Linked DNA regions of Rhinolophus ferrumequinum. The protein of the gene in region 3 interacts with the protein of the main gene of each other region in a biochemical or structural test. Links are inferred from orthologs where the notes say so. Each region holds a gene or a part of one and is shown on either strand. Other genes may lie near its edges.

Region 1 (7,729 bases), on a different chromosome or scaffold from region 3:
CAGCCCATGCGGGGAGATGGCACAGCTCATGCCCGAACGCCTGGTCAGCCAGAGAAGGGCTTGTCTTGTCCCCAAACCCCTCCCTCAGCTGGAGTGAGGTCGGGGCAGGGGACAGCTGGTGGGGCACACAGACACCCACGTGTTCCTTCAGGGCCAGGGGTCAGTGCTGGGCCAAGGTCAGGATCCTGTCCTGGCTCCCTCAGGGGCTCTGACACCGACCCAGCCCCAGGTTGAGCCGAGCGTCCGGGGGGCAGGGTCTGGCTCCCTGGAAACGATGCCTGTCACAGCCCAGAAGTGCCCTCTCCTCTCTCTCTCTTGCCAGGTTGTCCTCTCTCCTCTCCATCAGGTTGTTACCTTTGGGCCCTGGCGGTCCTGCCTTCCCAGGGACTCCGGAGGGACCTCGTTCTCCTGCAAATTCCAACACACATCACTGAGTCCAGCTCCCAGTCCCAGGACCCGAATCCCCAGGCTGGGAGTCGCTGCTCCTGGTTATTTTTGTGGCTGTGGCCCCCCAGGTTGGACCCTGCAGAACGAGAGGGAGGGTGCCTGGACCCCATCCTCACAGGGGTCCCGTCGGAGGCCACGACCTGGAGACTAGGAGCTTATCCCAGGGAACTGGGGGCCCGAGTCCCAGCTTTGCCCCACACCGAGAGAACCTGGGGACTTTGCCTAATTTCCATGGCTTCAGTGTCCCCATCGGAAGTCTGTACCTGGAAACTTTCAGCCCCAGAGCTCAGGTGACACTACAGAGGGACATAGAATTAGGGTCTTGCCACGTCCACATAGAGCAGGGGTGGGTCAACACTATTTCTTGCCAAAGCACACACAGAGCTCGATAGGTGATTAAGAGACTGGCTCCCAACTAAGGGAGTGTCAGACCCCCGGGTGGACGCTGGCTCTGAGCAGGGCAAGACCCAAGCTCCCACCTGAGACCGCAGGGCCACTGCCCAACTCTGACATGGCTCTAACAGGGCAAGAGCTCAGGGGCCCCCCCCCTCACCCTGCACATACCTCTCCCTCCTGCGGTGCCCGCCTCTCCCTTGGGCCCTGTGGCCCCGGGCAGCCCCGGGCAGCCCCGGAGAATGGAGAGCTTGTCGGAGCCCTCCAGACCCAGCAGCTTCACCTCTGCAGAGACACAAAGGGCCAGTCAGTGCTGACCTGAGGGCCCTGGACAGCCGGAAACAGGCTGCCCCATCTGAGGGCATCTGCCACCGAGGTGACCTCAGGCCCGGGCTGATGGCGGTCGCCAAATGAGGGGCAGCCTGCAAGTGAGGTTTTCCTGCCTCTGGTGGACACTGGGCGGTGGGAGTGACACATGCAGAGCCCTTGGAGTCCTTCCTTCCCTGAGGAACCCAGCTCCTCAGCGCTGTGTGTCCTCGGGCGAATCACTCAGCCCCTCTGGGCTCTGTCCCCTCGGCTGCCAGTGGGGATAAGACTGAGGCTTGGGGGGGTTAGCCTGGATGATGCACATTTAAAAAACCTTAGTATAAATCATGGTGTTTAGAAAGAACTTCATAAACAGCGGATACTTTTAATAAATAATAACAATAAACATTTATAAGACTTGGGGCATTTGGGTCAACATAGCATTGTCACCCGCAATCCTTGGGCACGTGACCAGGGGCTTCCTCAGCTGAAAGGGGTCTGTGTAGGTCCCTGGAGAGGGGACGCGTTTGATCCTAGGACACAGAGGAAATCCGTCCGGCAGAACCGGGACCAGAGATTCATTTACTTCTCAGAGTTTCAGTGTGTTGACTACAAAACCAAAACACCCGTCTAAGAGACAGCTTAGTGAATACGGAAATACGCCGTGCCCCAGTGGGGCCCCAGCTGGGTCGTCACTTGGTCTGTCTTTGCCTGGTCCTCACTCCTCAGAACCAATGTAGACTTCATTTTCATAATCCTTAATGTTTGCTCATTAGAAAAGAATACTTGGCAATTTTAGACATTTAGAAAATAAGACACATTTAGGGAAGAAAATTATCACCCATGATATTACCAGTGAAGTGGCCCCCATGTGTGTTTCCTTCCTGACTCATTCCGGCTCTTCTCCACTCTACATGGTAGAAACAATTCCTCCCAGTCAGTCCCACCTGGACCAGGCTAGTGACAGCAGGGCACACGAGGCCCCTCATGGTGGCCCCGGGTCCTGGCTCACAGCCACCTCCTCTAGTGGGATTGAGAAGCACCGGGTCCAGAGTCTCCCCAGGCGGGAGGGGGTGGAACCAGGCCTGTGAGACAATGGGCGAGGGACGGAGGTCTCGAGCCCTTCGGGACAATGTCACCCTTGCTCTGTCACCTCAGGAACAGAGTGGGATCTGCTTGTCCCCAGAGCCAGGAAGGTCCCAGACCATAAGTCCCACAGCACTTGGTGGGAGCTTCTGGGCCATTTCTCAGTGCCGGTGATAATGACACAAAATCTACCAGGGCGGCTCTGCCTCCTCACACAGCCTGTGCCGTGGGACTCTCGCTCCTCCGTGGAAAACCTGAGGAGCAACTCCTGCAGACAGTGCTTAAAACACGCTGTCTCAGGAAGAAAAGAATGTTCGAAAAGGCATGGGGACTGGTACACAGTAGGTCGTCCGTGAGTGGAGGCTGTCATTTCTCAGAACTGACCATTTTCAGGTCCTACTCACCTGGCGTCTGACTCACCTGGGCATGTGTCAGCAGTGGAGGCTGAAGTGCACAGGAAGGTGATGGCCAGCACGAGGGGCCCCATGGCCATTGCTGCTCTGCTCGGCTCCATCGTGCTGGTCCTGGCGGCCGAGGAGATCTCTGTCTTATAGGGCTGCAGCCACCCCAACCTCTGGCTCTATTTGTCACCCTGGTGGGGACAGACGTGGGGACGGCCACTTCCTCCCCCAAGCTTGTGGCGTCACCCGAAGGTGGAGATGCCTCAGAGGACAATCTTCCACACCCCACACACTACTGAGTGAGCAGCTGTTTAGTGAGCTTCCTCTGTACTGACCCCAGTTCCCCTTAGCTGGGACACTTTCTTCCCAGCAAGAAGCCGTCCCAAGGTCCAGTGTGGGGAAGGGCCGGCCCGCCTGCCTATTTGTGTCTTTAGAGAAGCCCAAGCCATTCCCCTCCTAACGCAGAGCTGTCGACAACCTTCCCTGAGGACAGGGCTGGCAGGACCCCACTGAGGCTATTTGCATACAATGCGTTCAAGTCTACACAGGTTGAGACGTCCCCTGGGCGTTTAGGGTGGTTAGAGGGGAGAGAGAGGAGAGCATAACGTCTGGGGAGGGGGGGTGGCTTTTGACTGCAATGGATGTGACCTGGGGGAGGACGTCCAGGCCAGGCCAGGACGGCTAGGGGCTGGCCCCGGGACACTGACAGACAAGTGCCAGTCCAGCCAGCACTATAAAGAGGCCAGACGTGAACTAGACTGGGGCAGCTTCAGGCTGGGTGGGGGAGTGGCGGCGGAGGTGGCACTAAATTGCCCTGAGGGCCATTTGACACCCACCCCAGCCAGGGATGGACCAGGCAGACCAGGAGTCTCAATGCCTTTTCCACAGCCCTAGAGAACTGGTACATCCTGAAGGGAGCTCTCTCCTGGGGTTGAGTCCAGTTAGAGACGGAGGCGGCAGGTCTGTGCCCCCAATCCCACCCACCAACAGCCCCCGTCCAGGTGTGACGTTAGAATCCTGACCCCACGTCCGACGAAACCACGTGAGGATCAAGGTTCCATCTGTCCCCTTTCAGAGTCCCTGGGGTCCGTGAGCCGGACACTGTGACGTCCCTATCATAGGGAGGACAAGAAAGGCCCCGTGTCCTCTGAGTTCTTGAGTCCTGCAACCTGAGACTAACAGGAGGAGAACACGTTCACGAACACACTGACTTCCTGCACACACGGGAGACGGGAGCCGCTCAGGGGAAATGGGTAACCACCCTGTGGCTTAGAATTCAGGACTAAAATGCTCTTCCTAGGGGAGGAGGAGACACAGGCCTCTAGGGCGAGGAAGCGTTGTAGGGAAGGGGCCTTGGAAGACGGGTGTGACAGTCTGTCTGCCTGTCGTGGGGACTTCTAGCTCCTGAACCGAGCTTCCCACTGAGTGCAGACAGCTCGGGACACTCAAAATCGCAGTGTTGATATTTTAGCATAAAGGAATCTGTCAGTTGGTGTTTTGAGTGTTGGCGATATTTAAGAGCATTTGGTCCTATTAGAGTGACAACCTAATAAGCTCACTGAAAATGTGAACTTGAGTAATGGAACAAGCTAGTGACGTACTAGAGGTCTTACCGCGCTTCCATTTTCGGAGCAGTTCAGTTCATGCCATGTTTATGTTATTAGATTTCCGAAAATTAGCTTATCCTCAGGAGGCTTTGTTAAAGGTAGACAACTGAAACGCTGCAGCACAAATTTGAGTATATTCATCTTCTAAATGCAATTAAAATGCTTACAGCTGTTAAATTAACTAAGTCACTGAGTGGAACAAGAAGTATTCATCGGTCCCTTGAAGGAAGTTATTAAAATTTTCCTGTTATACATAAAGTTTACAAGTCAAACTTAAATGCTTAAGGAATCATTGGACTTTTGAAGTTATACGTTTAGTAAACTGAACAAATGACATTTAAATTAATTTTAAAAGGTGGTGACACACTGAGTGATCTTCTCCGTGCAAGAAAGGATACAACACTTAGTGAGAAACACGATCGAGGAGAAACAAGCCTGCGTCGCAAGGGTGGGGCACAGCTCAGCTATTGTGCCTTTGAGGGAACCACTTGTTATGGGTGGGGAAACTGAGGCCCAGAGAAGGAAAGAGGCTGCCTGGGGCCACACAGCGTGGGCCGCTGATCTCCCCACAGGCCCCTCCCTTCCTCCCACACCCGCCCTCTGGCTCAGTGCAGGTGCCCGCTTTCCCCCAGGGTGAAGGGTGCAGGAGCTCGGCCTCTGGCCCAGTGTCCCCTTCACTCACAACCGGCAGCTCTAATGGCCCCTACACAGGAAGTAGACATTGCCAAGGGTCCCTCTGGAGCCGAAAGGCCACCCACATAAGTGAAGGGTTGACTCACGGACAATGATCAAAAGTTGAAGTCCTGTCACTGGCTGCCTTACGCTTGGGGTCTGTCCTCACTCCCGAATTTCAGAATTCTGTTCCTGCTGGTACTCCAGAAACATTCCAGGGGCTAGTGCGTGGGGACTAGGCTTCACAAGCAAGGGAGAGAGGGATGTTTAGTGAGCACCTGCTATGTGCCAGAGGCTGGTCTGTGCCCTGTGACACTGTGGGACACAAAGCAGACAGGTCTCTGCCCTCCTGGAACCGGTTCTACTGAGAGAAGACAGAAAATAAACAAATAGACAAACACATACAGAAAAATGGTGTGATCCGATCCCCGAGGAAGCAGTGTGCACTCCAAAGGAAATACAGAGAGTATATTGTCAACGGTTCATCAGAATGCAAGACGTAAAAGCAGAACTCTCTGTGACTTCACACGCAATCGTCCTAACAGGTGAATATGGGTGCTCCCGGCCAGCACCTCTCCTCTGAGCCGCGACCCCGGACCCACACCTCCTCCAGCCTGTGTCTGTCACCTCCCATTCATGACCCCTATCCTGAGGGTCATCTGCAGTCCCGCCAACCGGAGGGGAACAGAACATGGGGGACGCTGCAGAGGCAGCGTGGGCCCTGGCGTTCACATGTCTCTCACCCTTCAGCCCACTTTTGGTCGGCCGTGAACCACCGTGTGACCACCAGGGACACTCAGCCTGGTGAGTGACTGGAAACTGTCTTGCTGAGCATCGAGACAATGGGCTGAGACTATCAGAGAGGGCGTTTGTCAAGGTCACTGCTTGCGTCGTGTGTGTTTTTGCTTTCATGAACTTTCATCCTATTTGTGCGTTTCCTGTAAGCTTGGTGTGTTGCTGACACGCGCTTTTCTCGTCCATGCCGACACGCCCTGTTCCTTCTTCTCAGCTGATTCTCGACACCGACTGTACTTGTTGGATGTGGTTGTGCTTTAGTATTTTGTGCTGCCCCTGCCTTGACTTTTGGTTCAACCTCTTTGTATTCCATTTAGTGGTTGTCAGGAATTTCCTTGTGCATCTTTCAAGGATCACTGTCCCCCTCGAGTGACCACGACAGCACTTCGCATGTCATGGATGAATCTTCCCACAATCCTTCCTACTGTGGGTATAGGTTTTGCTGTTCTATAAACCCCACCTTGAATTTTTATTATTTTTGTCTTAAAGTCAATTGTCTCTTGACAACATTTTTAAATGAAGGAAGGAGTATTTGATACACATTCTCGTACTTCCCATTCTTGCTTCGTTTCTTCCTAAGGGTCTGCCTTTCCGTCTGGCATCATCTCCCATCAGCCAGAAGAACGAACTCCCGGCTTTCTAGGAACGTGGCAACAACCTCTCGCAGCTCTCACTTACCTGAAAGTGTCTTTATGTCACCTCCACTGTGGAATCATAGTTGTGCTAGAATTGTATTCTACATGAGGAATGCTTGTCTCTCTTCACCTTAGAAATGGCGGGTTTCACTGGAGATTCATTCTATTGGTCAAACGGAGACATTCTTGGCTAACGTTTCTTCAAATATTCTTCTGCCCCATTCTTTCTCTCTCTTCTTTGGATGCCCACTGTACCCTTTCGGTCTGCTTGACACCTTCCCTTTGGTAATTACAGCCGGCCTTCCTCACCTGTTTGATAACCTTTGTTTTCCACGCTTCCACTTGGGTACTGGATCAGCATGTTTTCATACTCAACACATTCTCATAGTCACTAATCCTTTTTTGCATTGTCCATTCAATGAATTTTTTTTTATTTCAGATATTGCAATTTTTATTCCTAATATTTGTAGTTGGTTCATATTTAGACTTTCCTTATCTCTTTTGAAATCCCCCATTTCTTCAACTATTACTGTGTTTCCCTGAAAATAAGACCTAACCGGAAAACAAGCCCTCGCATGATTTTTCAGGATGAAATACACTGAACATAAGCCCTAAAGCGTCTTTTGGAACAAACCGTAATATAAGACCCGGTCTTATTTTCAGGGAAACATGGTATATCCATCCATATTATTTAAAATATTTGTCCTACTTATTTGAAGTCCTTGTCTGTGAATTCCAACATCTAAGGCCCTGTTCACTTGTTTCCATTGACCTTTTCCTCTTAATCATGGGTCACACTCCCCTTCTTTTGTGTGTCTAGTAAGTCTTGATTCTGTGCGAGACACTGTGCCCCTGTGCTCTTCCTCAGAAGGGAGCTGAGCTGGTGCTGGCAGGCAGCGGGGGTCATTGTGATCCTGGGGGTCCTGGCTCTGGGCTTCTTCAGGTGGCTCTATTTTGTCTTTAATCCATGGGGTTAAGTTTCGTCCTGGGATACTGTCCTTTTACTTAAGGATCTGGTCTTCTGGGTTTTCAACCAAAAGCCTGAGGTGTCTATCACATCCATGTAAAATGATGGGACTTGAATGCAGACGGCCTCCCTGACATTGGGAAGTGCTGACATGTTCCCTCGGCTGTGACAGCCTTCCAGCGGTTTCCCTCCAGGAAGGTGACTGCCGCTCACCTCACGCACGCTCAGACCAGCCATCATCGGCCAACGGTAATAGAGTCTTGTAAGCAGATTTTAGGGTTTTCCCCATATGGTTCCTGTTCTCAGGATTTTCCACCCCAACCTCCAGCCACTGCAGTGGCCTAGATTTCTGACACTAAGTCCCAGCCTAATAAGCCTCCCCTTCCTTGAGCAATGTCCCCTGTATCACATGGACGGGGG
Region 2 (7,920 bases), on a different chromosome or scaffold from region 3:
TTTCCCTCCCCATTACATCATGTCCTTTTTAGGCACTGTTTTCTGAGACCGGTTACAAGTTGTTAAGAAATGGCTGAAGAGCACATTAGTTGAATGGACTGGTTGGCAGAATGTCACAGGCCAGGCAGGTGGGGGAGGGTGTGTGGCGAGGAGGGGGAGGCACAGCGGGAAGGAGGAAATCGGCACAGGCTGCAGAATCAATCAGGGATTGAGCAAACAAAAATGGATCAACTTAGACTTTGGTTCCAGCTATCGCAATCAAAGCCAAAATGAAGAATCTTTACTAACCTGGGCCTCCAGTTATATTTGGGAACTTACTTCTGGCTAAGAATAATTTTGGCAATACTTAAACCATTCAGGTCGAGGTTAACATTTATGCAGGCAAAAGAGGAGCATATGCATTTCCAGCATATGCCTCAACTTCAAATAACAAGGCTTGCTTGGGCACTGGGCTCCCTCTCGCAGTCTTCCTATGGCTGTTTTCTGCATCCTGCACTCTCTGTAACACTTCATCCATCAGACCTATTTTACCTGGCAATACCTCTTCCAGAACTGCATAGTCTGTTTCTTAACCTCTTCATCATCCATGTTGACCTTTCCCCTACTAAAACTGTTGCAGAAAAGTTATAAAAACTTATAATAACTCACAGTAAGCCAATTTAGTTTCAGGACCGTTTGGCAAATAAAAAACACAACAGCCATTTTCCATCCACTGAAAATTCATGTCATCTTTCTCTACCAGCTTGTGCATTATGTGTGCATTTGTGAAAATCATTAAGTGTTGCTTTAACTATGAAAGTTATACTTTATCTGTTAAAAAGGAGCCAGACTTAAAGTCATTCTTATTGTAATATACAGGGGGTGCCAAAAATGTATACATTTTAAGAAAAGAAAACTGTATTAAAATTGTAATACTCAATATATACCAATAATAAAAGATGAATATAAGTCACGTTTGACTTCTGTAATGACAAGAGGTGCTCAGAGTGGTTACCGTCAGTGTCCAGACACTTTTGAGGACGGCAAACTACTGCTTGAACATACATAACATCTCTTAAAATGTATACACCTTTTTTTGGCACCCCTAGTGTATAGGGCTCAATTCACCTGCAGAAACCACCACATTTAAAGAAACATCGACGAAATATAAAACACAAGTGAAGTAAGTACCCTGGAATCAATTACATGAGAAAGGAGTTTAAACCCCTTTTATTTAATTTTTGTCACTTATACTTTGTAGCACCCAATTTTATATAATGTTTCAAGTTCCACTTTGTAATCACTGAAATGGTTTAATGAAAATTGGCATGATCCTTCAGTTTTAAACATGAGCTAGACATAAAACAAGTCTTCGTACCGTGACAAATGGTATCTACACAAAACCTCAGCAAACAATATGTACACATTGAAAGGCAAAAAGTAGTCCTATTAAAGAAAAGACAACCAAACTTATGCAAAGAAAAAGGTATTTGTAATGACTATGTAGTAACACTGACATTGCTCTGGAACTCTCTGCCAATAAATAATAATTTCACTTTTGAACACTAACTGTCATATTCATATGTGCAGGGAAATGATGATGTACTTAGTTTAAAAAGTGGCTGGAAAGAAGGTGTACAAGCTAAAAATCAAGCTCTAGTATGTTAGAATGCATAACTACCAAAAGGCTCTAGTGTTCAAAAAATATTAAACACATTTGAATAAATGCAAATACATTACTAAAGGATACAATTGAAAAAAAAAAGATATGTGCCTTTATTTTCTAGATGGAAAAGTCCTCAGGACAGAGGTTCTGTGTTATTTGCTAATATTCCTCAATGCTTAGAGGCTGACGTGAATAAGAATTTCACTCAAAGTTTGTTGAGTTAGAGAAAAGTTTTGAGAATGTGAATGCTATGTAATTCATTTGGTTTAAAAATGTCCATCTACTATCACATAATTACCTATCATGAACTGGGAAAGCAAATTTCCTCCAAGATTAATAATCTATCGAGAAATAGTGATAGAATTAAATTTAATTATGAATCTAGAAATTGTCTTACTGATATCAGAAAAAAATTCCCACACTCATTCACTATACCTAAAGAGTGCTCTTCTAGAATGTATCTTATATAGACCCACGGGAAAAAAAAATCCTGTTGGACAACTCAGGTGTTACAAAGACTGCACATTCAATTATTTTTTCAAATTTATATAATATTTTCATTCTAATGATACAAGTAATGCTCGTCTACAAAACTATTAAGGTCAAGGCAACATCAGCTCTAAATAATAAATGAATATTTCTTTAGGAAGAATTAAATTCTTTATCTAAAATAAGTCCAACCATTATATGATTTGGAGGCTTTTATTGTCTAATATATGTTCTGGTTCTATCTATAGTCACCTACTTCTTAATACTTTCACATAAAGCATTTTGTTGAAAATTCTAAGCAAATAAAGTACATTATATTTTATGACAATTACAAGGGAAGAGATTATGCAAATTATAGTTTTCAAAAATATTTATTAAGACATTTTCTGGAATTCTACATTAAATTAAATTGTGCCAAATAATCAGAAACGACATTCAAATAAGCTGCTTACATGTTTTAAACTTCATAATGTCAAAAGTCACTCAAACAGTAAGCTACAGGGAAGTAATTCAATCACATTTTCTAGACCAGATTTTTATTACCACAATGGAAAGCACATTAGCAAATGTTTGATAACACAGTTACAGAAAAAAAAGTTTTTCTTTTTTCCTCTTACCTTGTGCCACACAAACCGTCCATAGCATAAGCCACAGAATTTTTGCTGCAAATCTCATTTTGGGGGATCTGTCAGGGGTACATTTAATAACTGACACTGGCTCACACACTGTCAGGTTCTGCTCTGTAAAAAGTTGTGATTAGTGCAGGAAAGGACTCGCTCCAGAAGGAAGTTGAAACACAGCTTAGGAAATGAAGAGATGACTAAATGCTCCGCCCATCAGAAACGTTTACAAAGTGAAAGAAAAAAAAAATCATCCACAGGCCCCAGCAGTGCCCGAGTTTTCACAGGCTCTCCCTGTGTCCCCTTTCGAGTGTTAACACTGTGACCTGCTCTTGCTTTGCTTTTATAAACCCAGGCAAGTTTTCCCTGGAACCTGTTCAGTTTCCTGGAATGGGCAAAGCAGTGACTGGTGATGATGTCCTCTGGATTCATAAACCTTATTACTCAAACCCCATTCAGGTCTATTGTGCGGAAACATCAGGAGATGAAATAATAGCAACTCTTTAAAAAATCATTATGGAACTGGAGCTTAGGCAATGCTTTCACAATTGAGCCCCGGACGACGTGGGTGAACTTGGCCGAGAACGCTGTGCTGGCTGATTGGGGGAGGCCTGCTTCTCCTGCAATCATGGAATTAAGTCTTCTAAAGACTTGTTATAAATGTGTGGGAAGCAACAGGTTCACGATGACTAGGCACTTGGTCCCTACAGTGGTGACATTGAGAGCAAACTAGTTTACAATACTATTTACAAAGAATTATTTAGCATTAGCCGAAGCATATGAACTCTTTTAATGCCCTGAAATCTTATAGTCCATTATATCAGGAAAACTTGACAGAGGTTTTCCAAAATGTGACAACAACCCTGAAAATTTATAGGACACAAATCATCAGTTGTGAACTTGGAAAGACTTGTCTAATATTTCAATAATAAGTAACAGATTTAAAATCAAACATGCTAAAGAAAAGACTGAATTATTTTTCTACTTCCTATATATAGGAAAATTAGAAAATTGTGTCACGTGAAGAGATAATCCAAAGAGTGTTCGACCAAAAATGTAAAAAATTGAAGGTATGATAGAGTTAATGAATAGACATATTATGTTAAGTGTCTAGTTTTTATAATGTTTGTGGTATTGTCAATTTTTTCAACTTTGTGATTTAGGAGTATAATAATTCATTTCTAATTTTAATTTTCCTTTTTTTCCCTCTAATTTTAGGTAAACATTTACTTTCAACCTAATTTTTGTTCTCAGTTTGTGGTCTTTTTTAGGGAGGTACTTTCAAATTATATGTAACATCCAACAAATTTGGATCTTTCCTGATTACAGTGCAGTATTAAAAGTGGCAGGTAACAATCAAGGTCAGTCTATACTATGAAATCTACAGCACCTAAATCCCCTGGTGTGGCCTTAAGGACATATTTTAAAGGGACAGTTCTTTGCACCTTTGATATTCCTGAAACTAAACACTGCATGACATTTGTTGTTATTGTTTTATGATAGGTCCTTGGTAGCTATGGCTTCTGAATCATACTTATAATGGCAGCCACAAACAACTTAATACTATTTAAATTTAAATTTAAAGTTAAGTCAATTAAAAAAAAATCCAGTACTTGACTTCTACTTCTGATCAAGCTAGAGCATAGGCAATTTTTGTCTTTCCTCCTTGATTACACGACAAACAATGCATAAGCTAGATAAAGGTCATCTTTTTCGATTTATTTTAGGATATCTCCTCACTTACATAGAGGAGCCTTTTAAGAGTTCTAGAGTTCCCTTTCCCACTTCTTAAAAGGCTAGTACCTTTACTTCTTCCCAAGGGGACACTGCTAGCATAATCCAAGTTAATAATTTGCATAGAAGAACGACAATGGTGCATTTTCTTTCATTCTATTTGGGAGGAAATGAAAACACACAAGGGCCTCCATTCCTATTTATTGCATTTATTTTATTAGGTGCTTTTCTAAAACTATATTGCAAACTCTCCAAATCATTCACCCTCTTAGAGGAAAAAGAATAAAAACACACAAAAAAACTACCATCTCCTTGGCAACCTCCTCAGTGCCGTTGGAGGACATTCAGAAAACCTTTCAGCCCTCAGAAAAAATTAGTTGTCTCTGCCATGCCAGCTGCCTTTTCTCATGTCCAGTTTCCCAGGTTCCCAGACATTCATCCAGGGCACAGCACACGACATAACTGCACATTTCTGAGTCTTTCCTGGGCTATATTAAGAATCTGTGAGCGGTCACTTGTTTGGCTCTGACCGAAAGTGCTTCAACTTTCCAAGCTCTACTGATCTAGCAACAATTGCTGATTAATGATTACATTTTACGTGTCAGGAGCTGTATTAAATGTATAACCTACTTTAGTTCCCTCATACACCTTACAAAATACTATGATCCTTCTATTTTTATGCAAGTGACTTAAGTGATTTACTTAAGATTAGAATCCAGGCTGTCTGGTTCCACAGTTGGACATTTCAACACTAGGGTCACCAATCTTTCTGACTCTAACTGTGAATTATTCCCAAACATTGTTACCCATTTTTGCTCTGAGCAAAGAAAACTCTTGGAATTGGTCTTTTTCTCGTCTCTAACGAGGACTCATAGGGACACAATGCAACTGTTTGTGTAATGATACTAAGCTGCATTTTAGCATTTGTTTTGGTAAGTTAACCCTTCTAAAAATATCTGACAAATTATGTAATGCAACATATCAGACAGAAATTTTTATTTCTTGGGGAAAAAAATTAAGTCTTGCCTACGGTGTGTAGTTAGTTGAAAGCAAATGACTAATAACCCAGGTAATACCGTGTTTCCCTGAAAATAAGACCTAGCTGGACAATTAGCTCTAATGCATCCTTTAAAATTAATATAAGACCCGGTATTATATTATATTATATATTACATTATATTATATTACATTAATTATATTATATTATATTATATATTATATTATATTATATAGCCGGGTCTTATATTAATATTTGCTCCAAAAGACGCATTAGAGCTGATTGTCCAGCTAGGTCTTATTTTCGGGGAAACACAGTATAACCAAGGAGGTCAGCTTGTGTGTCATCATTTAAAGGAAATTCAAATATGGAACGATACTTTAGGATTCACATTTGTTTAAATGTTGACATGTACTCAAGGGTCAAAAGGAATAAAACATCTGTAAAAATTAGCCTGGGTACATGACCATGTTTCAGTAGGTTAGATGTCTGATTCGACTTACATCATATCAAAAGCTACTTGGGTGCTGCAATGCAAGGGAGGGAGTGAGAAGATGTGACCGTCGGTTGCCCGGGGAGCTGGACCTGGGCTGCCCTCTTGTCCTTGGAAGTGCGCCCTGCCCACCGTTCCCGCAGTGGGAGCTATTTTGAAGGACACAGCCTTGCGAGAACAGCATGTTGTTGAAACCATCGGGATGCTGCCAGTAGACATGGCAGAACCCAGTTAGGGCCTCTCTACGGACTTTTCAGGTGTGGCAGGGAGATGTGAAGACCTACTGGACTTGCAAACGCCAAAACCATCTTTGTAAGTAAGTGCCCTTGCTTATTAGAACTGTCACCTGCCAATCTGGAGCCGTCTACCTCTTTCTTCTGTCTCTACCTGCCCTCTGTGTACAGGGGCCAGTTTGCAAATCAACAACTGGCAAACCAGACAGGAGACAGAAGAAATGGGTTTTGGGAAAGAGGCATCCACAGCGGAAATTCTGAGGTGGCCACTGACCTCTGTGCGGGGAGGGGTGGTCCATATATTAGATGCTGGGAGACCACCACGTGAGTACAGGATGCTCCCCAAGCGCCAGCTGCTTTAATGTGCTTGTTTGAGGAATTGTATCATGCTCTGCAGCCAAGAAGATAAACGAATGGCTGCTGCAGTGTCAGCCTCGACCGCAGGCAGTTTGGCTGGCCACTGACACCCAACTAGAGGCTGAAGCTCAATTAGAAAGTTGGAAGACGAGCTGCGGTTAGAGAAGAACAAGCATTTGTCCATGATTCTGCTGGCTTCTGGCTGGCAGACAAGGTGGGAAAGCAGGATGACAAGTCAAGTGGAAGACCGTCACATGACATTTTTCAAAGCTGAAGGGGCACTAGCTGCCCAGGATTAGAGTGTGAACTCTTGTGACAAAGCCTGATTAGGACGCTAAGAATCCCTGGGAAAGTGAGGAGAGCAAAGGGGAGGGCATTGTGGTGACTGACACCGAGAAGGATGGAGGGCCTCATGCAGTCCCAGCCCTAATACAAAGGAAAACAAATAGCAATCACCCTAGACTTCTGATAATAGAGAAATATACCCTAAGACTCCTAGGGGGAAACTTGCATCTTTTCTCTGTCCCTTGAAGTTGTAAATCTTGTCATCTCTTTGAAATGTAAACACCGCAGGAGAGATTTGCCCACAGAGACTGAAGATAAAAAAAGGAGTGGGGAGAAAGAGGCTTTACAAAATACAGACGGCTAAGAAGCTCCCTGCCCCAAATCCGGTCCACAGCCTACATAAGATTATTTGTCAAAGGCAAATACAAATCTTGAAAGTCTTATCCACAAACATTGGTAAAAAGCTTTGGCCGTGTGAGTGGGTCCTGTATTTATGGCTAAAGTTTAGGAATGAAAGCTGTGGGGTCTCTGTTGTGTCTGTCTGTCTGTCTACATATGTCTGTGGATATGCATCATGTATATGTGATGTTTTTTCTATCTCTGGAGGGTATTGTCAAAATTACTTGGTAAAAAAAAATGTTCTATTTAATTGTGTTAGAGAAAAAAATTAGCTTTAATATCATTAATGTACTTTTGTAAAACTGAGACTGAATTTTCTTTCCTCTGCTAAAAGGATGGAGTTTTCTTGGACTGTTGGTCTGTTCTTGATAAGATTATGAAAGGTTTATCTTTACGTTTTACGTAATCTGCCTAGAAAACAAAGATTCTGTGTTTATCGGAATAATTTCCTGTGCTTCATGAGGTCTTTATCAGGTCTTTGCTTGTTTAAGAAAATGGATTCTTCTCCATTAAGAGAGCTCTTTTTTTTTGTTGTTTTGTTTTCACAACTATATAACTCCTCGTATTTGCCTTTGCTGTCTTTAATTGTCACTTTGGTTAAATAAATAATGAAGTATTGCTTCACAGCGACCTATGATCCTATTTAATCAAGTGTTTTATACCTTTTG
Region 3 (7,365 bases):
CAAAGATCATGGAACAAAAGATCACCACATGCATGGGCATTTGAGAACTCTCTGTCAAGTTTCAGTAAAGTAGTGTTCAAGAGGGTGCCCACTGCAATCTAATTAACTGATTTCCTGTTTAAATAAGCCCAGGCAGTCAGGACTGCATTCCAAAGCATTCCTTGATTGCCTCTGAGACCCCGTTTCCCCTGTAGGTGGCACTGGCCATGTGAGTTCATGGAGTGGAACTGCATGTTGGCAGGTTTTTTTTGTGATTTCTTTAGGGGACCAGTGATTGAGACTCTTGGTATCTCTTTAAAATGTCAGAAACTCTCTCATGAAATGGCTTTTGACTAATAGGTTTTTCTGATTATGTTATCAAAGACCAAACAAAATGAAAACCAGGTTCTTAGGAGGCCAACAACAGAATAATTAGGAATCCCTTAGGAGCCAAGCTGGCAGAAAACCAAGAGAGGAAAAATCAAAGCTTGTAGGTAAATGTGTTATATTATTGAATATAATAAAAATTAACATTTTAGAATTTAGAAATACATCCCTCTTCTGTTCTAATATGCAGAGGTGAAGATGAAAATTAAAGTAATTCTTGTTTTTCTGGTACATTATATGTACGATGACTTTATATGGCTTGCAAAAGACAAGAAATTTCATTCATTAACATAGCCCCAGAATTATAATTTGTCTCCTGGTCACTTACATTGAGGATTTATCTTATATGTGATTTTATTCTTCCCCCCCCCCAAACCTTACTTAATATTTAAGAAAATATACTCTGTACTGATAAACAGTCCTCAAATTTTTAGGAAAGACTAATAATAGTCTAGTATGGTTTCTATAATTTTAAATGAAATATGCTCTGACACATGCTCATGAGTCTTCCTCATACTCCACCCAATAAGAGTTGTTTTACTGGAAATAGAGGGAAGGATAGTACTGCAATTGTTTTTGGTTTCTGAGACTCTCAGGAAAAGTGCAAATTATATTTTCTTACCTAGGACACAGATTTTCTAATATAACCCACAAATGACTGTTACATCACTGTTTCTTAGAAATTTTGACTTACAAAGGAGTGTTACTTGGCTCCAAATATCTTTATTTTTTTAACCATCTTTAAAATGTATTATTTCGGACCCACATGAATTGGAGATTCATGGAATATCCCATGGGACTCTGACAAGTTGCATCTGGTTTGAACCACCTCTCTCGTTTGGTCCTGATCCTCCAAATCCCTGGGGTGGGGCCGGGGTACCATTGGCTCCTACACTGACTGTTACACTTTGGATCCCTCGGGGGCTGGTTTATTCCAAAGCGCGCACTCTGGGATCTCTAGTCACCAGCTAATTCCACAGACTCCGGAGGCTGGGGCCTCTCCACTAATCCTTCAGGAGATCAGATTCGGCCTCGAGTCCCTTGCTCAGACCCGCAAAGAGGAGAGGCGAGCCCAGGGTGGGCCCCGAACTTTAGGCTGGGCCCTGAAATAGCGCGGAGAACCAGAGCTCCCCTAAAGAGAGAGGCAGGCTAAAATTAGAAGAAGTGGAAATCCCGAACGGAGGGAAGCTGGACGGCTAGAGAGGTCACCATTATAACTGGCCCATAGAGCCCCCGCAAGGCCTGGTCGTATCAGGTGTCAGGGGCCCTTGCCTATTTCAAGACTATGACCGTCCTGTCCTCAGCTATCTTGGGGGTTCCGTGGGACTGGAGAATACTTTTTTAAGCCAATTTCACCGCCTTGCGTGGTGTGTCTGACTCTGTGACCGTGCAGGAAGAGATAGAGGCGTGTGTGTGTGTGTGTGTGTGTGTGTGTGTGTGTGTGTGTGTGTGTGTGTTTCTCCCATTAAAGCTTCCTCTGGACGGCGGCCTGATTTGACTTCCAGTAACGCGCGCTCCTAGAACAAAGCCGCAGGGCTGTCCCTACTAGGCCTGCGTCCTTACCTGCCGGCAGCCAGCGCCGGGCCGCCCATCCTTGCACGGCGCGGAGGTCCGCTCTCGTTTGCCGCAGCTCTTCGAGCACGGCGCCCAGGGCGCGCCCCGCCTCCTCCGGGCGCTGCGCTTTAGCCCCCTCAAGGAGCGCCAGCCTGCGGCTCGCGTCGCGGCTCTCCTGCAGCAGCTCAGCCAGCACCCGGGCGAGCCTGGCTTCCGCGGGGGCCGCGGGTGCGCACGGCCTCTGCGGGCTGTGGGTCAGCCGGCCCAGCTCCTCCCGCAGCCTTCGCAACTCGCCCCGCAGGATGTCGTCGGTGGCCTGCAGCAGCATGCCCTCCCTCATCTGCGAGTCCTCCAGCATGATGAAGAGCTTGTCCCACTCGGAGTGCTCCGAACGGCAGTCGCACGGCGTGGCTAGAGCGCGGGAGACACACAGGCATTACCAACCCGCCCAGGCCTGCCTTGGATGTGCTTTGTAAAAAGATGACCTCCCTCGGTGGTCCCAGGTTACGGCCCGACCCAGCACTCCCCTTTCCTGTAAGGACACCTCCGAAAAAAACAGCGTGTAAATATCTCGAGAATGACAGAAACCATTCGTGTAGGTATATATTAATTTGAACTCTGTGAAATTACCGTTCATGTAGCTCAAAACGGCAAATTTCGGCAATTTCATACGGTTCAACCCATTATATATCTGGGACAGAAAGAACTTTCTGAAACCTCCCCCTTTCCTAAAGTGCTTCTCTCTTTTGCAAAACAAACTATAATTTTTATCTCGTTTCATTGGCTCCAAACTATATGTATAAATTTTAGACCCAAAGAGGTGGGTGTGTAGTTAGGCTTAGCAGAGAAACAGTTAAAAGGAACTTACGGTCCTCAGTGGGATGGAGTCCATTGTCTATTTCGTTGTCCAAGTTCACATACATGAGCTCATAATCATCGGAGTTCTCGGCGCGCACTGCAGACCAGAGAACACAAAATAGAATCGCAGAGAGATACATTGCTGGAGAGAGACAAAGTTCTTCCGTGACTTCCCACCGCTGGCAGGCGGGGACCAAGCGAGAGCCTCTCCAGTGAGCTGAGTTTGAGCAGAGGAGAGTGAGAGTGAGAGAGGCAGGAGCCCAGAGCCCTTAATAAACGCTGGGAAAGCCAGAATGGGGATGAATGAGTAATGCCGGTGGCACTGCAGTAACGGGAGTTCCCCTGAATTTAGCGGGGGAGGGGGCTGGGTGGGAGGGCGAGAGAGACAGGGAGGTTACACAATAGTAAACCACAAAGGTTTACACTGCAGGCAAATTAATTGGAGGAGGGTCAAAGGGGAAAGAGAGGGAAAATGGGCTAAAACGGTGCCCCTGAGGAGTAGCTGTTATAACTTGAATTGGTAGCACTGAGGGATGAAGGGGGGAGGGGTAAGGAGCGAGGTTAGGGGAGAAATAATTCAGCAGGCATAGAGGTGTGAAAGCAAGATCGTCATTTCAGCGTTTTGTGTGCGTTTTTATTATTTCACAACCCGTTATGTACAGAAAACTTTTTTCACTTCTTTGGAAGCAGTTTTACAGGTCTAAGCTGTGAAACTTACTCTCTGATTCCAAGATAAACCAACTTAGAAAGAATTTCTGTGGCTCTACAAGCCAAGTCCATTCCAAGTTATTCCATCTTGAATCCTTCTGGAGTTGCAAGTACACTTTTATAAACATACATTTTTAAATGACAGCACAGCAAAGCTGGTAAACCTAACATGAGAAAGAGATGCAGGAAAGGAACAAACTGATTTTAGGTATGTTTTTAATAACCTTAATATTATGTGAAAATTATATTATTCCACTAGGCTTAGAGTCAAAGGTCATGTTTTCAAAGTAAATTTAGGTATTCCTTCTGTCAATATATGGAGATCTATATAAGCTGAAAACTCTTCTGTACAAAACACCTAGAACTGTGTTTAAATTATAATAAAAAGAGAAATTTTAAATGTACAAATGAGTTCACCTCCCCCTGACCCCCAAAAAAGGGAAATACCCAGTAGCAGAAGATAGAGAGGGAACCTAAACCAGAATGGTAAGGCCAAAAGCTGATGCTAGGGCCCCCCTGGAGAGGGTTATCAGTTCTATAACAATCAAAGTGTTAATGACCATGTGGGAGTAAAGCTTAGGCCAGGGTGGGAGTTAGAAGTGAGACCCTCACCTAAAGCAGGACTCTCAGAGAGTTACATATTGGATTTCAGTAGGCATCGCCCCACTCTGCCCTAGCATGAGAAAGTGAGAATTAAGCATGTCTCTCTTTGTTGGAACTCTACAGAGTCCCTAAAAGTTTGTGACTTTGGGCCTGCCTTCACATGTTTCAAATTGAAATGTATGCTATTTGCCAGTGTAAAAAAGAAATTCACAAAGGAAAATACTTAAACATATGAGGAAATAATCCACCATAAATGACAATCAGCAGAAACCCAAAAGGATTAGACACTCCTCCCTCAAGAACTTCAGTTTTTAAAATATCAGCTAGAAACTAGAAAATAAGTGTGTTTAAATTATTTAAGATCTACCAAAAGGAATTGGAAACCTGATAAAAGAAAAAGATTAGGTGGATTTTTTGAAGAACCTAATATAATTTCTAGAATTAAAAAAATAATAATTGATTTTTTTTTAAATCTCGAGAAATGGGTTAAATGGCAAATGAGGCAAAGCTGAAGAGAATATTAGGGAACTGGAAAAAAGATCTAAGAAAATAATCCAAAATGTACTCTTTAAGTTGCGTATACTAAAATCTTTTCATTGTTCAGCAGGATGATAGAGAAATTAATTAATTTTGTTTTGTTAGTTAAAGAATGTTTATCTTTTTAGGGGTGACCACCGAAACCAAAGGAAATAGAACATCCAAATAGAAGGAATAGAGGGAATTAAAAAACAAAACAACTTGATGTATTCAATAGAAAGCAGTGAAGGAGGGAAGAAAAACATAGAGCAAGATAAATGAAAAAGCACAACATAATGTAGTAAAAATAAATCTAAATATACCAATAATCACTATAAATATTAATGAAATAAACTTTCCAATTAAGAGACAAAGGTTGTCAGATAGGTATAGTTTTAAAATCCCCAGCTATATGTCATTTACAAGAGCCATATGTAAAGCATGAGAATCTAGAAAGGTTGAAAGCAATAAATGTAAAGGAAGTGGGGAGGGTAGAATATATTGAATAAATGCCATTCAGAAAAAGCTGACATAACTATATTAATATCAATTAAAAATAGATTTTAAGACAAAAGAGAATTATTAAATTATGATAAAAGAAACACTTTACCAGGAAGGTATCTCAAAATTATCTAGTGAGGTAGTTTCAAAAAATATATACCCAAGATTCACAGAATAATAAGGAGAAATTGACAGATCCATAACTAAGTCTATTTCGATCATAACTGATCATTCAATACCAAAAAGAAAAAAGAAAAAAAACTGCTACAAGGTACAGAAACAAACTATATAATTTAACGTTCAACTTAGTGAAATACATAGAGAATCACCCAGAAGGTTTCATAAACAAGTTTAAATAAAGATTCAAGTAACTCATAAATGCCATCTTACCAGACTGCTTCTGAGAATAGAGTGTGCAGGAATGTGGTAAAATCTTTTTATATGTCTAGTAAGTATGAAACCAAAATGAGACAAAGACAGTACAAGAAAGGGAAATTGCAGGCCAGTCTCATTTAAGAACATAGATGCAAAAGCTCTAAATAAAATATTAGCCAAACAAACCCAGCAACATATGGGTACAAATACGCCAGAACCAAGTTGAATTTATTCCAAGACCACAAGATTGATTAAATGTTAGAAGATCTATTAATTTATTACATTAACAATTTAAAGGAGAAATCACATAATCATGTCAACAGATGCAGAAAAGTCATTTAATAAAATTCAACACTCATTCATGTTCAAACTAGGAAACAGAAACTTAAACTGATAAAGCGTAAATACCAAAATCTATAGAAACATATACATACATAATGGTGAATCCTTAGAAACATACTCTTTAAAACAGGGATAACAAAAGGGTACTCATAGACACTGGTTCTATTCATCAAAGTGTTGAAGGTCCCAGACAGTAAAGTAAGACAAAAAAAAAAGGGGGGGGGGCAACATAAGGAATAAAGTTGAACAGAAAGAAACAAAAAGCTGTCATCAATTATTCTGAGTTAATTATCCATATACAAAAAACTTAGACTCTAAAGACAGATTATTAATAAGAGAATTGAGCAAGTTTTGCTGGATAAAAGATCAACATACAAAAATCCGTTGCTTTCTTACTATCAGCAGACAATTGAAAATACACACTTAAGCAAGGCTTCCATTTACAATAGCAACAACAAATATGGGATACTTAGGAATCAACTTAATAAAAAAAAACAAAGTACAATATTACATACTTTATTGACAAATGTAATATATGTATATATATATAATATATATATATATATATATAATATATATATATGGAAAAATATATCACGTCCTTGAGTGAGAAGACTCAGTTTCACAAAGAAGTCAATTGTCCTAAGTTAGTATATACATTCAATGTGGAAGAAAAAAAATCTCAATCTAGTTTTGCAAGGAAGTTGACAAACTAATGGTAAAATTTATGTGAAGGAGCCAAGAAGAATTTGAAGTACAAAGTGAAAAATTTTGACCTATGAGATACAATGATTTATTATAAAGTTGTAAAGAAAATGTGTTATTGGTGAAGGTATGATAAATACCCAGAAACTGACCCAGACACATGGGACACCTTATATATGAAAGGGGTATTACAAATCAGAAGGGAAGCAATTGACTACTTAATAAATGGATCTGGGACATTTGTTTGTAAACATGCAAATGATATATAAGTAGATACCTTCTTCACATGTACAAAAGTAAATTCGAGATGGATTAAAGACAAATATAAAAACAAAATCATAATGTTTTTAGGAGAAAATATAGGAGATTGTTTTAAAGGAACTTAGGGTAGAGAAAGACGTCTCAGTAACAAATAATAATAATAAAAATAATAATGAACCATAAAGTAAAGAAATTTTAAGAATCATCTAGATTAAGACTGCAACTTTAAAATTGATTTAAAAAAAATCTGTGTCTAGAATAAATAAGGAACTGCTACAAATCAATAAGAAAATACAAACATTCCAATTGAAAATAGGCAAAGGACATGAAGGCTAAATCACGGGGAAGGAAATGAACTCTAAACATATAAAGAGAGTGCTCACAAGTAATCAAGGAAATGGAAAATAAAATAGAAAACTGTGGTATCCTCTGACACTCCATCAGACTGGGAAAAAACAATATCTGTCAAGAGCAAATGTTGGCAAGGATGTGGAGCAACAGAAACACCTATTGCTCGTAGATATGGAAATTGTTGTAATCGTGACGGTAGGCAGAATAATGCCCCCCACCAAACAT

Evidence for each region.
Region 1: the proteins of PTX3 (region 3) and FCN2 interact in a biophysical measurement, tested with the Homo sapiens proteins (2 studies listed by IntAct, with this or other methods). The link is inferred for Rhinolophus ferrumequinum from reciprocal best matches to the Homo sapiens genes PTX3 and FCN2.
Region 2: the proteins of PTX3 (region 3) and CFH form a complex in vitro, tested with the Homo sapiens proteins (3 studies listed by IntAct, with this or other methods). The link is inferred for Rhinolophus ferrumequinum from reciprocal best matches to the Homo sapiens genes PTX3 and CFH.

Annotation. Positions count from the first base shown.
Region 1 is NC_046295.1:81,808,806-81,816,534, reverse strand, and holds the start of FCN2 (ficolin-2), read right to left. Parts: upstream 3,026-7,729; 5' UTR 2,747-3,025; coding exon 2,653-2,746; intron 1,126-2,652; coding exon 1,012-1,125; intron 409-1,011; coding exon 355-408; intron 1-354.
Region 2 is NC_046310.1:3,403,676-3,411,595, forward strand, and holds the start of CFH (complement factor H), read right to left. Parts: upstream 3,072-7,920; 5' UTR 2,810-3,071; coding exon 2,752-2,809; intron 1-2,751. UniProt on the Homo sapiens protein: Glycoprotein that plays an essential role in maintaining a well-balanced immune response by modulating complement activation.
Region 3 is NC_046285.1:81,821,945-81,829,309, forward strand, and holds the start of PTX3 (pentraxin-related protein PTX3), read right to left. Parts: upstream 3,095-7,365; 5' UTR 2,919-3,094; coding exon 2,789-2,918; intron 2,332-2,788; coding exon 1,930-2,331; intron 1-1,929.